Nothobranchius furzeri: one gene and its partners. The protein of the gene in region 2 interacts with the protein of the main gene of each other region in a pairwise test. Links are inferred from orthologs where the notes say so. Each region holds a gene or a part of one and is shown on either strand. Other genes may lie near its edges.

Region 1 (3,654 bases), on a different chromosome or scaffold from region 2:
TGTACTTGTGCGTGGAAACGTTTCTAAATTTAAGAACATCTCTGACCGTGCATACGCACAGCATCTAGTGGTGGAACGGGGAAGCACAACACCGAATGTCTCAGTCATCCAGATGGTTCTCATCCACAAATTTCATTTATCCAGGATGTAATTTTGTCAGTGGAAAAACAGCTTTTTTGCATAATTGGTACTAAAATCAATAAAAGACACCTGTGACCAACGGGAATCTGACATCATCATGGCTGATCTGTGTCACTGGAGGATTTAACAGAGCGTGCTCCCTGGAGGGAACGTGTTCTCCGTGAGTGCTCTGATCTCAAATGCTCGGATTTGGGACCCTCTGTGGCGCTACAGACAAACCTCACAAAGCCGATCACAGTTCATATTTTATTTTACAACTATGAGAATCCCCCAGAACCTCCTCTGCTCCCCGATCAAACACGCCACGTTGCCAAGGTAACCAGACTGAATGACAGCTCAGAGGCTGCGCTCTCAGACAACATTTCCAAATAAAACTAAATCCAAACAGAACGACCCCTTAAATGTAAACGAGAACCTGTTACTCTACGACTGATTAAATCCATTTTGTAAATTTATTTCTGACAGGAACCTCTCCTCTGTCCCGACCGCGTAACCTCTGTAACTTGTTTGGTTCTTTTGTGCTTCGGCAGCCAGCGTTTCGATCTCGATCTTTTCTGGGAAAAAAAACCAAGGAATCCCCTCATGTGCTGAGGACGTAGCGTGACCAAATATGGTTCATTGAGGGCGTTTCTCGATGCAAATGGCTGTCAACAGGCACGAGCACCTGAGTACGCACAAGTGGGATTAATCAACAGCTGACTGCGGAGGAACATGCGTACGAGAGGCCACTACATGTTTCATAAACCAGATTTGGGCTGTTCGTACCAACATTCTAAATTCCATTCGTAGGATTGAATACAGGAACATTTCTACGAACGTTTGATAAATGAGGCCCAAGGTCTGACAAAAAGACACAGGCTAATCAGAATGCTCAACACGATGACCACGTCTGCCATTGTTGCATTGTTTTTTTAAGTTGCGTACTGATAACTTTGTGCTGCTCTTGGAACTCTGGAGTCCACCCGGCAACAACGTGTCCAGTTGCTCTAAAGGTCTGATCAAACCTGGACCAACGAGCTCGCAACGGATGAGCAACAGCAAAACATTTCAGTTCAGCTGCTCAGGAGCTCAACTAATTTTAATTCATGTGTTTGTGTCGTTGCTGCTCTCCAACGGTCTCTGAAAGGGATGAGGCTGCGGCTCAGGTGGAAGAGAAGGCTAGCATCAGCAGAGGCTGTCAGTTTAAATCTAGTGTCCCTGGGCAACCGTGTTGCCCCTGATCTACAACTCTGTGTGTGTGTGTGTGTGTGTGTGTGTGTGTGTGTGTGTGTGTGTGTGTGTGTGTGTGTGAGTGAGTGAGTGAGTGAGTGAGTGAGTGAGTGAGAGAGAGAGAGAGAGAGAGAGAGAGAGAGAGAGAGAGAGAGAGTTGATCAGCCTTTGTAAGCGTGGTTAAATCTCCGGCCTTTAATTGCACATTTTCTTCATCACACCCGTATTTTGCAGGTTCTATCATCTCAGGATCTATCTGAGCACTCGTTGCATTCGTCCTACAACAATGACACAGCACACGTTTATACTGTAAAGCAATAAGGCGAATCATGAATATGTGGCCAGTGTTGCACTAGTCTTCGGGGATATGACATCTTAAACCACACGGTGTGGTTTTGTGTGCTCCATGGCAAATATGTGCTCTGTGTGTATTTGCAAACACAGATTTTAAACATCTGCTTTCATCGTGGGACAGGAAGTGTCAGCAGGTGTGTGATTTCAGCATCGCAGCTCAGACGATTTAGAGACTGTTTAGTTTCAGCTGGATCAACTCTGAACCTCGGCTGAAGCTACGTTTTCAGAAGTATTCCCTTTAAAAGAAGGAAAATATCTGTTTTCTAAAAATAAAAATAAAAAAAAAGAGCGTCAGACAGGTAACAGGTGGTAAAAGTGATTTAGTAAATAAACTCCAAGTGTATTTAAATGATTTTATATCGTTCAGGCAGGACGAAATCTGTCGGTCCTTTACCTGCAGCAGCTCTGGGTTTTCCCTGCCGATCTCCTGCAGCAGAGCTGGAAGCAAGGCGGCGTTCTGCTGAATCAGTTGTCGCATGACGTGGAACTGAGGCTGATTTCTGAGGAAGCTCAAGGGGTTACCTGTTAGTGTGAGTCAAAGTGTCAAGCGGCGAGTGAAAGAGAGATTATTATGCAGATAAACGTTTATTAATGAAGGCTACTGTGTGTTTTAGGCAACAGAAAGCCTGTTTACCTCCTGCAGCACTTGGTGAAGAGCCAGTGCTGGCAGGGCCACTAATGCTGCCAGCAGGTGCAGCTGGAGCTCTGCTGGCTGGAGCTCCACTTGCTGGAGGTGAACCAGCAGCAGCGTCGGGTCCTGTTGCAGGGCCCTGATCTCTGCCCGGAACACCCTGTGGGAGGAGTCACGACTCATGCTGGTTTTAAATGTCACGCAGAATAAACAAGTAGCTCGAAGATGTTGTTGCCGCTTTAAATCTACCATAAAGTATGCATACCAAGATTAAGTCAAAGTGTTTAACAAGGTGCGTTTAGGTGAAGGTGTCTGTGATTATGAGAAGGAACAATTAGCTCCATCTTTCCCAAAGGTCACACAGCTGTGTGACCTTTTAAGGAGACTTTATCGGAGCTGTTCTTACCGAGAGCAGGTACTCCATGGCTCTGTCTGGGTTGTTAAAGCTCGCTCTCATTGCTGCCACCACCTGCTCTCTCTCATAGCCCATTAGCATCATCTCGTTCACCATGGTGTCATACGATGAGCCTGTCACTGCAGAGGCCATGAAACACACGCACGCACACGCACGCACACGCAAGCAAGCAAGCAAGCAAGCAAGCAAACACACACACACACACACACACACACACACACACACACACACACACACACACACACACACACACACACACTTAGTACCTTTTCTTTCCAAACCTTGTCACTATTAGCTTTTTCTGTTGGAGCTCGTTAAAAGACACATTTCTGGTAACTACTCACTTTAAAAGTGAAAAATTAAACTAACACTCTGTGAATGTAGGAATTACATTCTTAACATGTTCTCTACTATGGCACCCCATTAGTAAAGTATAGTATATAATAAATCGGTTAATTGATTAAAAGAGTGAATTACTCAATCAATCAATCAATCAAAGCTTTATTTATAAAGCGCCTTCCGCAACCCTGTCAGGAAGCCCAAAGCGCTGAACATGGTACAGTTGTAAGTAATTATACTGAATAAATCAACAATAAAAGAAATTCAAATTACAAAATACAAATTACAAAATACAAAATGGAAATTACAAGATAGATGAAACATTCCGGTAAAATACAAATGTGTGAAACACAATTGGATTGAGTGGATGGATTGAGTGTCCCAATGAAAACTGTGGAATGGATTCAACATAAAAGAGGGCCAAAATCAAACATGTTCTGGAAACGCCAAGGGGAGGAGGTGTGTTTTTAGGTGATTCTTAAAGACTGGCAGAGAAGGGGACAGCCTAACTGAGGGTGGCAACTGGTTCCAGAGTGACGGTGCTAGGACTGAGAAAGCCCGGTCC
Region 2 (2,971 bases):
CCTGGGAATGTTGAGCTCTGCTAACAGTTACACCTGTAGAAACTAATGAAGGCTAAGGAGACATTTCCACAGTTGGGTGTTAAAAAGACAAACGCACAACGAGGAGATCAGTTTCACTTTTACTAACGAACAGCAGGGTATTCTAAAAGCAAGCCAAAACTTCTTGGTATCCCTTTAAGTGCAGTTTCTACTCAGCAGAGGGTTTATAGTGCTGTCCGATGTGAAGTTGGTCAAGTTTATGGCTCAAGAACCACTGAAACCATTTTGAAAGCAATAGCTTCAAGTGATAAAAGCTCTTTAGGGTTGCTTTAATGCTGCTTTTGGTGAAATATGATCTACTGATGAGAATGTTGTTAGGAAAGAGCCAAGTTTTCTCTGTGCATCTGTGGGGTCAGTGAATGTAGCTGGAGGTGGAGAACATCACCACCTCTAGGACACATCAGCCTCTTTAGGAAGGACCTTTGAGAACTTGCCTTTTTTATTGTCTGTGATGCAGGGGAGCAGTGTGAGTTTCTTTGCAACTCTTCAGTCGAACTTCCAGCACGTGATGCGGTATGAAAGGCCTGAGCTGCAGCAGAAAGCTCTAAGCGTTATTCCTCACCAGCAGCTGCGTTCTGCTGCTCAACACAAGCTGAAGGAGCTGAAAGATGCCGACTCAGGTGAAGTGGCCTCACTCAGTCTGTTCACCTGCCATAAAACATACTCGAGTTCACCTTCAGTTATGAGACTTGAACCTGACTGGCTCTGCTGTCGTGTTTGCAGACTGTAAACTTGGGATAGAAGACTTCCTGGTGCTGGAGTTGCTCAGGTGGTTCAAGCATGATTTCTTCTCCTGGGTGGATCAGTTACCCTGCAGCCAGTGTGAAGGTCCCACCCAGCACGCCAGCCCCCTCAGCCCTAGTGCTGAGGACCTTTGCTGGGGAGCGCAGCGAGTAGAGAACCACTACTGTCAGAACTGCCTGCTCTCCACCAGATTCCCCAGGTGTGTGTGATGTCTGTGCTAACTTTTACAGCTATGACTGATTTATTTTATTTGGTGTCATTTGAGAGTTGCTTAATTTGAGTTTGTGCTTTCACTATTATCAGGTATAACAACCCAGAGAAGCTTTTGGAAACCAGGAGGGGGCGCTGTGGGGAGTGGGCCAACTGTTTCACCCTGTGCTGCAGAGCCCTTGGGCTTGAGGCCAGATTTGTTTGGGACAGCACCGGTAGGTCACATGACCCGAGACAACCCTGCGGGGGGTGTCTCGTCAGTGTCGTGTACTCATCACAGCAGGGGTTTCCTGTGTGAACGCTGCTTTGGCACACAGGCCTGGTCTGACACACCTTTGATTTGTCAGAAAAATGCAGTCGTGTTATTAAACTGCTGTTTACCACACGTATGGTGCATATGGAGGCAGACGGACTCGTTCTTTGTGTTTTCAGACCACGTGTGGACGGAGGTTTACTCCGTGTCTCAGCGCCGCTGGCTGCACTGTGACTCGTGTGAGAATGCCTGTGATAAACCACTGCTGTACGAGGTCGGCTGGGGGAAGAAACTGGCCTATGTTCTGGCTTTCTCCAAGGATCAGGTCAGTGAGACGTCAGCATCGCTGCTGCTTCTATGTAGTGTCTATTAGTAGGCTTTTCTCTTAGTGATGTAGAATGTGACAGCAAGGCAGTTTACACCAGTTCAGTCATTTCTTATAGTCATGCGGATGAGATTACGACGTGAATGTGTCTGTGCTGCAGGTGGTTGATGTCACATGGAGGTATTCCTGCAAACACGCTGAGGTTTTGTCAAGAAGAACTAGCGTTCAGGAGGCTTGGCTGCTGCACACCATTAATGGGCTTAATGTCGGAGTAAGTTTGAACCCGTTTTAACCCAAGTGATGGTATAAAGGCCACTTTGGCGTTGACGCAAGACTGTTCTGTTCTGATATTGAAGCGACAGCAGTCCCTGACAGCAGACCAGAAGAAGAAGCTGACAGAGAGGTTGCTTGTGGAGCTGGTGGAGTTCATTTCCCCGAAGAAACCCAAACCCGGAGAACTGGGGGGGCGTAACTCTGGTTCTTTGGCCTGGCGGCTAGCGCGTGGGGAAACCAAAACACCTGAGCGGGAGACGCAGGTACACATTTCAGTAGACGTATACCGTTCACCGGGTTGCATCCATGTTGAGTGGAAGGTCAAATATCCGTTTTCTTGTGGAGATGCAGACTTGGACAATTCTGAATTAATTGGGTTAAGTGATGTTTTTTCCATAGAAATGTTTTGCCAGCCATTTCTATCACAGCACCACACAGACACAAGCTATCACTGTGCACACTTCTAACCTGCATGAAGGCAATTCACAAGACTGGATTTATCTTTTCAGCCCAGTCTTCTCGGTGCATGGCTGCTTTCATCAATCCTTCACACACAGCAGAGACTTTTCATTCGAACAACTTAAAACTTGTAAAACAGACCACAGAAGCAGGTCTGTGTTGAGTTTGCCCACCACTGGTGTTTTATCTACTAGGGCTGTCGCGGTTGAGGAATTCCCCCTGCGGTGATTCAGGGTGGCTTAATATTGCGGTGTGCGATATTATTGCAGCACTTTTTTATTGCAGTACTATCTAAACATAATGTTTACACATTTAAAAAGGTTAAAAATTGCCGTGCCTTCTTTTATAACACTTTACTGAATGCAGATCAAAGGGCAGTAACAACACAGATCGCAGAAAGTCCGACTGAACTTAAAAACAACAAAATTGAGAAGGTTAAACTTTTAAATGTAAATTTGGCTGCAGCATCTAACAAATAAGAAACAAGTCCCCATGTTGTTTAGTTGTTTTAAATCAAGCATAAAAAATTACATGTACCGGGCGCACGCGCGCCGGGGGCGGGCGCACTATCATTTCACTTTCACTTTCACACACACGAATGACGGTGATTTATAGCTCGGTCACGTCCTTGTTACCTACAAGCAAAACCAGCATGATAACTATATACG
Region 3 (4,129 bases), on a different chromosome or scaffold from region 2:
AGAGAAAGGAATGGTCTCCTAAAACTGAACCTTGTGGTACCCCACAGGAAAGGAACAGAGGATGACACAAGATCAACAAGGCTAAAGCAAAAAATAAACCATCTAAACCGCTCCACTACTCCAGACATTGATCATTTCAGTCCATTGTGTCAAAAGCTGCTTTAAGAGCTAGTAGTGCAAAACTCATAGAATCGCCAACATTTGTGTTTGTGTAAATATTAATTTGCCCCAAAAATATTTACATCATAACATTTGTGCAAAATCAATATTAGGTTTAGCTCCAAAACAATATTTAACTGGGATCTAAATATTAATTTTGGAAGATAAATATTTAATTAGAAGCTAAAAAATTAGTTTGTAAACTAAACATTTAGTTCCAAATTGAATATTTAGTTAGTAAATTAAATAATGATTTTACAAACTAAATATTTAGATCTGGCCTAAGTATTTAGTTTGTAAAACTAAATATTTTGCTTGCTAACTAAATGTTTTGTTAGAAACTTTTAACATTTATAAATGCATGAATAAAATGTTGAAAATTTAATTTTGAAATTTTACTCCCATTTTTTCCTTATGATAGGCTATGTAACCATAAATACTGCTGTTAAATTATGAATTTACAAGTGGCCCCCCATAAACTACATCATCTGGAGACCTTCAGCTGATGGTGGTTCAGTCACAGGCTCATTTAATCTTGAGAAAGTTTTTACAAGCTTTACTAAAAAAGATCACCAAAAGCAGTATGGTTTCAAATAAGACTCTGTGATGGGGAGAATGTAACTTGGAAATCTCAGAAAAATATTTTTTCTGGATTTCTAGGACTATGAAGCTGACACATTGTTCTTTAAAATGGGAAGTGGCAGCAGTAATTTGCTATTTGTTCCTAAAAAATTAAAGTATCATATACACTGTGTATAGATTACTACAGCATTTTTAAGCTGTAAAGTATATTTTAAAGCATTCTCGAATAATCATGACAAATTTTTAGAGGAACGAATATTTGGGGAGCATCGGTATCACCCGAAACATTTCATGGCGCACTGCTTTTACCCAACCAATCAAATTGGAGCGTGGACAAATTGTTTTTCCCTGAGTTAGGGTTTACAGGAAAATTTTATCTTAAACTCTTTAAAAATCATGGCTGAGTAATTTTTAGATACAACTTCACATTCAAATCAATTGTCTTTTAACCCATTAACATTATTTTACATTGTTGTTATAAAGTTTGGTTTGACTGTTCTGATGCCAATGCTGCACCCTGAAAGACAATACACTGGGTTTAGATTTTCTCTAGCGGAAAGACCGAGGAACGAACAGTTTTTCCACTCGAGTTCTCGTCAGGAAGTCTTCTGTCGTTTGTTAAAATTTACTACTTGGCCACTGGTAACCTCAAAATGACCGTATTTTGTGTTCTTGTGGGAAGAAGTCTCGAATCCTTCAGTTTCGCTAGCTTAGCGGCTTTGTTGCTGCTTTGTTAACTGTTGGATTTTAGCTAAAGACAATGAAGCTATTATAACTCTGAAGTCGTTAAAGTGTTTGTTGATCATCTAACAAAGAATCACCGCTTTATTATGGACCGTTTTCTATCTGCTAGCATTAGTTACATTCCTTTTAAATAATGATCGAGTAAAGCGAAAGCGCAGTTTCATTTGCTGAGTCAGACATCTGCATTGTACACTCACGGAGCATTTTTCCCATGAATTAAAACAAGCAGCTCATTAGCGCTCTGACACTAAATACAAACAGCTGAATTAACTGATTCAACGTTTCACATCTGATGCAGCATCAAATAATGTTTAATTACTATCTAATACTAAACGTAGCTTCTTTAAAACCAGTTTACCCTGAAAAGCTGGTTTGTGTGATTAATAATTCTGCTTTTTAGTTTACAGCCTTTAGGACAGTCATGGCAGATGAAAACACACTCTTTTGTGGTAATTGGTAAGTATGACTATATCTTATGATCATTAATGTATTTCATAGCCTATATGTATGTTTGTTTTAAATCAAATCTGTTGTTGTTTTGTTTAGTAAGAGAGACATTCCTGAGGCAAATTTTACCACCCATGAGATTCACTGTCGAAGAAACATCGCCCTCTGTGACGTGTGCCAGGAGCCGGTGCCTCACTCAGATCTTCTGGAGCACAAGATTCAAGAGCACACTCGGGTACATCTGAACAAAACATCTAAAACCTTCACGTTATAGAATATAATAATATCATAATGTTAATGATGTAACCAATTTACATTAATATCACAATATACATCGACATGTGACATGTTTGTATTTATTACTGAAGGTCTTAACCTTAAAAAAAAACAAGGATTTAACAAAAATGTTTTCTTTGTGTCTTTTTCTGAGAGTCACTAATAGTCCTGATAGGGTAGCCTTGTATACATTTACAGTATGGGGAATTTTATCTGAGATTTTTTTTACTTCCCAAGTAATTTTCTGCGTGAATTACCCATCAAGCCAACAGTAGCTTAATTTCCAATGAAAACCACTAATTAGAAAGCAACATCATACTGAAACTGTATGATTATTACTAGGGGGTAAGACCGATATATCGGGCCAATATTTACAGTTTTTTTTAATGTATTGGCATCGGCCGATATTTGTCCTAAGTAGAGCCGATTCAAAGTTAGGCGCATCCTCGGGCAGCTCGTGGTGTTGCAAAATTTAATTTAAATGTGTTTTTACGTTCACTAAAAACATCTGCATAATAAATGCTCTAAGTTAACTTTATTTTTAACACTGAGCAGTGCACAAAGTTAAGATTGAGCACTTAGTTAAATTCAGAGTTCATAAACCGGTTCAGCTTCAGAAGGTTTGTGCATCAACTGATGTTGTTAGGAACATTTTAGTATGAAAATAAGGTGGATATCTTCTGGATATCAGCCATGAAAATCGGCAGTACATATTGGCCATCGGCTGACCGTGTCCTACATATCGGCATTGGTTATAGAACAAACAATATTGGTCAACCTCTAGTTTGTTACTTCAAACATTTTTTTAATCTTTTGCTTCAGATTATGTGCAAGTGTGGATTGAAGATTGAGAAGAATTTTCTAGATGTACATCAGGTACAGTGAAGATTAATGTCCTACATACCATATTGCTACTCAGCCAAAGGGTTGTGGAAACTGTGGAAAATGTTATTTAACTGCAGGAAGAAGCTGTAAAACACTGGCTTCTTCTATTTAACCTTCATATTTCTATTGTCTGTCTGTTTTGCAGAGCTCTGAGTGTCTTCAGCGGCTCGTCCCATGCCAGTACTGCGAACTGGAGCTTGTTTTCGGTCAGTCCAAAGAGCACGAGGATTATTGTGGAGCGCGCACCGAGCCTTGCCCACAATGCAATTGCAACGTGATGCTACGAGAACAAACCGTGCACTCAGTCATATGTGGAAGCCTCACACCGCCCCAAGAGAGAAACAACAGCAAGACGAGTTGCAGTCAAGCAGAGCAACCACCTTCAGATGCGTGGCTTGAAACACACTCCATCCGAAATCTCCTGAGAACCCAAGACAGAGGTTTTAAAAATAATAACATCAGTGCAGCAGAACAGCAATGCTTTCCTCAACCATTTGAACCCCCAGGTTTCAACCCTTCAAGAGGATTTCTGCCCTCTGGAGACGGGAAGAATGCTTCTCAGAAAACATCATTTAGCCGCTGTGAGTGTGTTTTAATTCAAGAGTATCAGTCGGCATGTAAACTTGTATTTTCTGAAATGTTTGTGTGATTATATTTTTTAGTCTTGGAGCAGAGTGATTTTCTGAGTGGAAGCAGCAGAGCATGGCTACCAAACGCATGCACAGAGGACGAGGATTCATCAGGTCTCGACTACATGTTGGCTCTCAGCCTGCAGTGTGATGGAGACTCAGTGGCTGGAGGCGCTGAGGGGAACGTGTGGCGTGATCCCTGGGACCAAAAGATCGAGAAGTCCAACACATCTGTAAAATCTTCACTTTCTGAGTCCAACTACAACCATCCAGTCTTCAGTGGAGGGACAAACACGAGTGCTGTCCAGGCCAGCAGTCAGACAGGTAAAATAGTGTAGATCACAGCACATCACGTCACCCTGCTGTCGGTTTATCTGTTAAAACTGTTTTCCCAGACACCATGCTGC

The links.
Region 1: the proteins of ngly1 (region 2) and rad23b interact in binary tests that used the Homo sapiens proteins (3 or more experiments, as listed by UniProt). The two-hybrid records come from large-scale screens. The link is inferred for Nothobranchius furzeri from reciprocal best matches to the Homo sapiens genes NGLY1 and RAD23B.
Region 3: the proteins of ngly1 (region 2) and trafd1 interact in binary tests that used the Homo sapiens proteins (3 or more experiments, as listed by UniProt). The two-hybrid records come from large-scale screens. The link is inferred for Nothobranchius furzeri from reciprocal best matches to the Homo sapiens genes NGLY1 and TRAFD1.

What each region holds. Positions count from the first base shown.
Region 1 is NC_091746.1:57,625,027-57,628,680, reverse strand, and holds part of rad23b (UV excision repair protein RAD23 homolog B), read right to left. Parts: intron 2,870-3,654; coding exon 2,742-2,869; intron 2,496-2,741; coding exon 2,339-2,495; intron 2,227-2,338; coding exon 2,099-2,226; intron 1-2,098. UniProt on the Homo sapiens protein: Multiubiquitin chain receptor involved in modulation of proteasomal degradation. Binds to polyubiquitin chains.
Region 2 is NC_091751.1:24,890,819-24,893,789, forward strand, and holds part of ngly1 (peptide-N(4)-(N-acetyl-beta-glucosaminyl)asparagine amidase), read left to right. Parts: intron 1-496; coding exon 497-659; intron 660-762; coding exon 763-982; intron 983-1,086; coding exon 1,087-1,208; intron 1,209-1,425; coding exon 1,426-1,571; intron 1,572-1,731; coding exon 1,732-1,842; intron 1,843-1,927; coding exon 1,928-2,107; intron 2,108-2,971. UniProt on the Homo sapiens protein: Specifically deglycosylates the denatured form of N-linked glycoproteins in the cytoplasm and assists their proteasome-mediated degradation. Cleaves the beta-aspartyl-glucosamine (GlcNAc) of the glycan and the amide side chain of Asn, converting Asn to Asp.
Region 3 is NC_091757.1:46,521,800-46,525,928, reverse strand, and holds the start of trafd1 (TRAF-type zinc finger domain-containing protein 1), read left to right. Parts: upstream 1-1,233; 5' UTR 1,234-1,242; coding exon 1,243-1,383; intron 1,384-1,885; coding exon 1,886-1,941; intron 1,942-2,031; coding exon 2,032-2,167; intron 2,168-3,030; coding exon 3,031-3,084; intron 3,085-3,238; coding exon 3,239-3,674; intron 3,675-3,755; coding exon 3,756-4,046; intron 4,047-4,117; coding exon 4,118-4,129. UniProt on the Homo sapiens protein: Negative feedback regulator that controls excessive innate immune responses. Regulates both Toll-like receptor 4 (TLR4) and DDX58/RIG1-like helicases (RLH) pathways.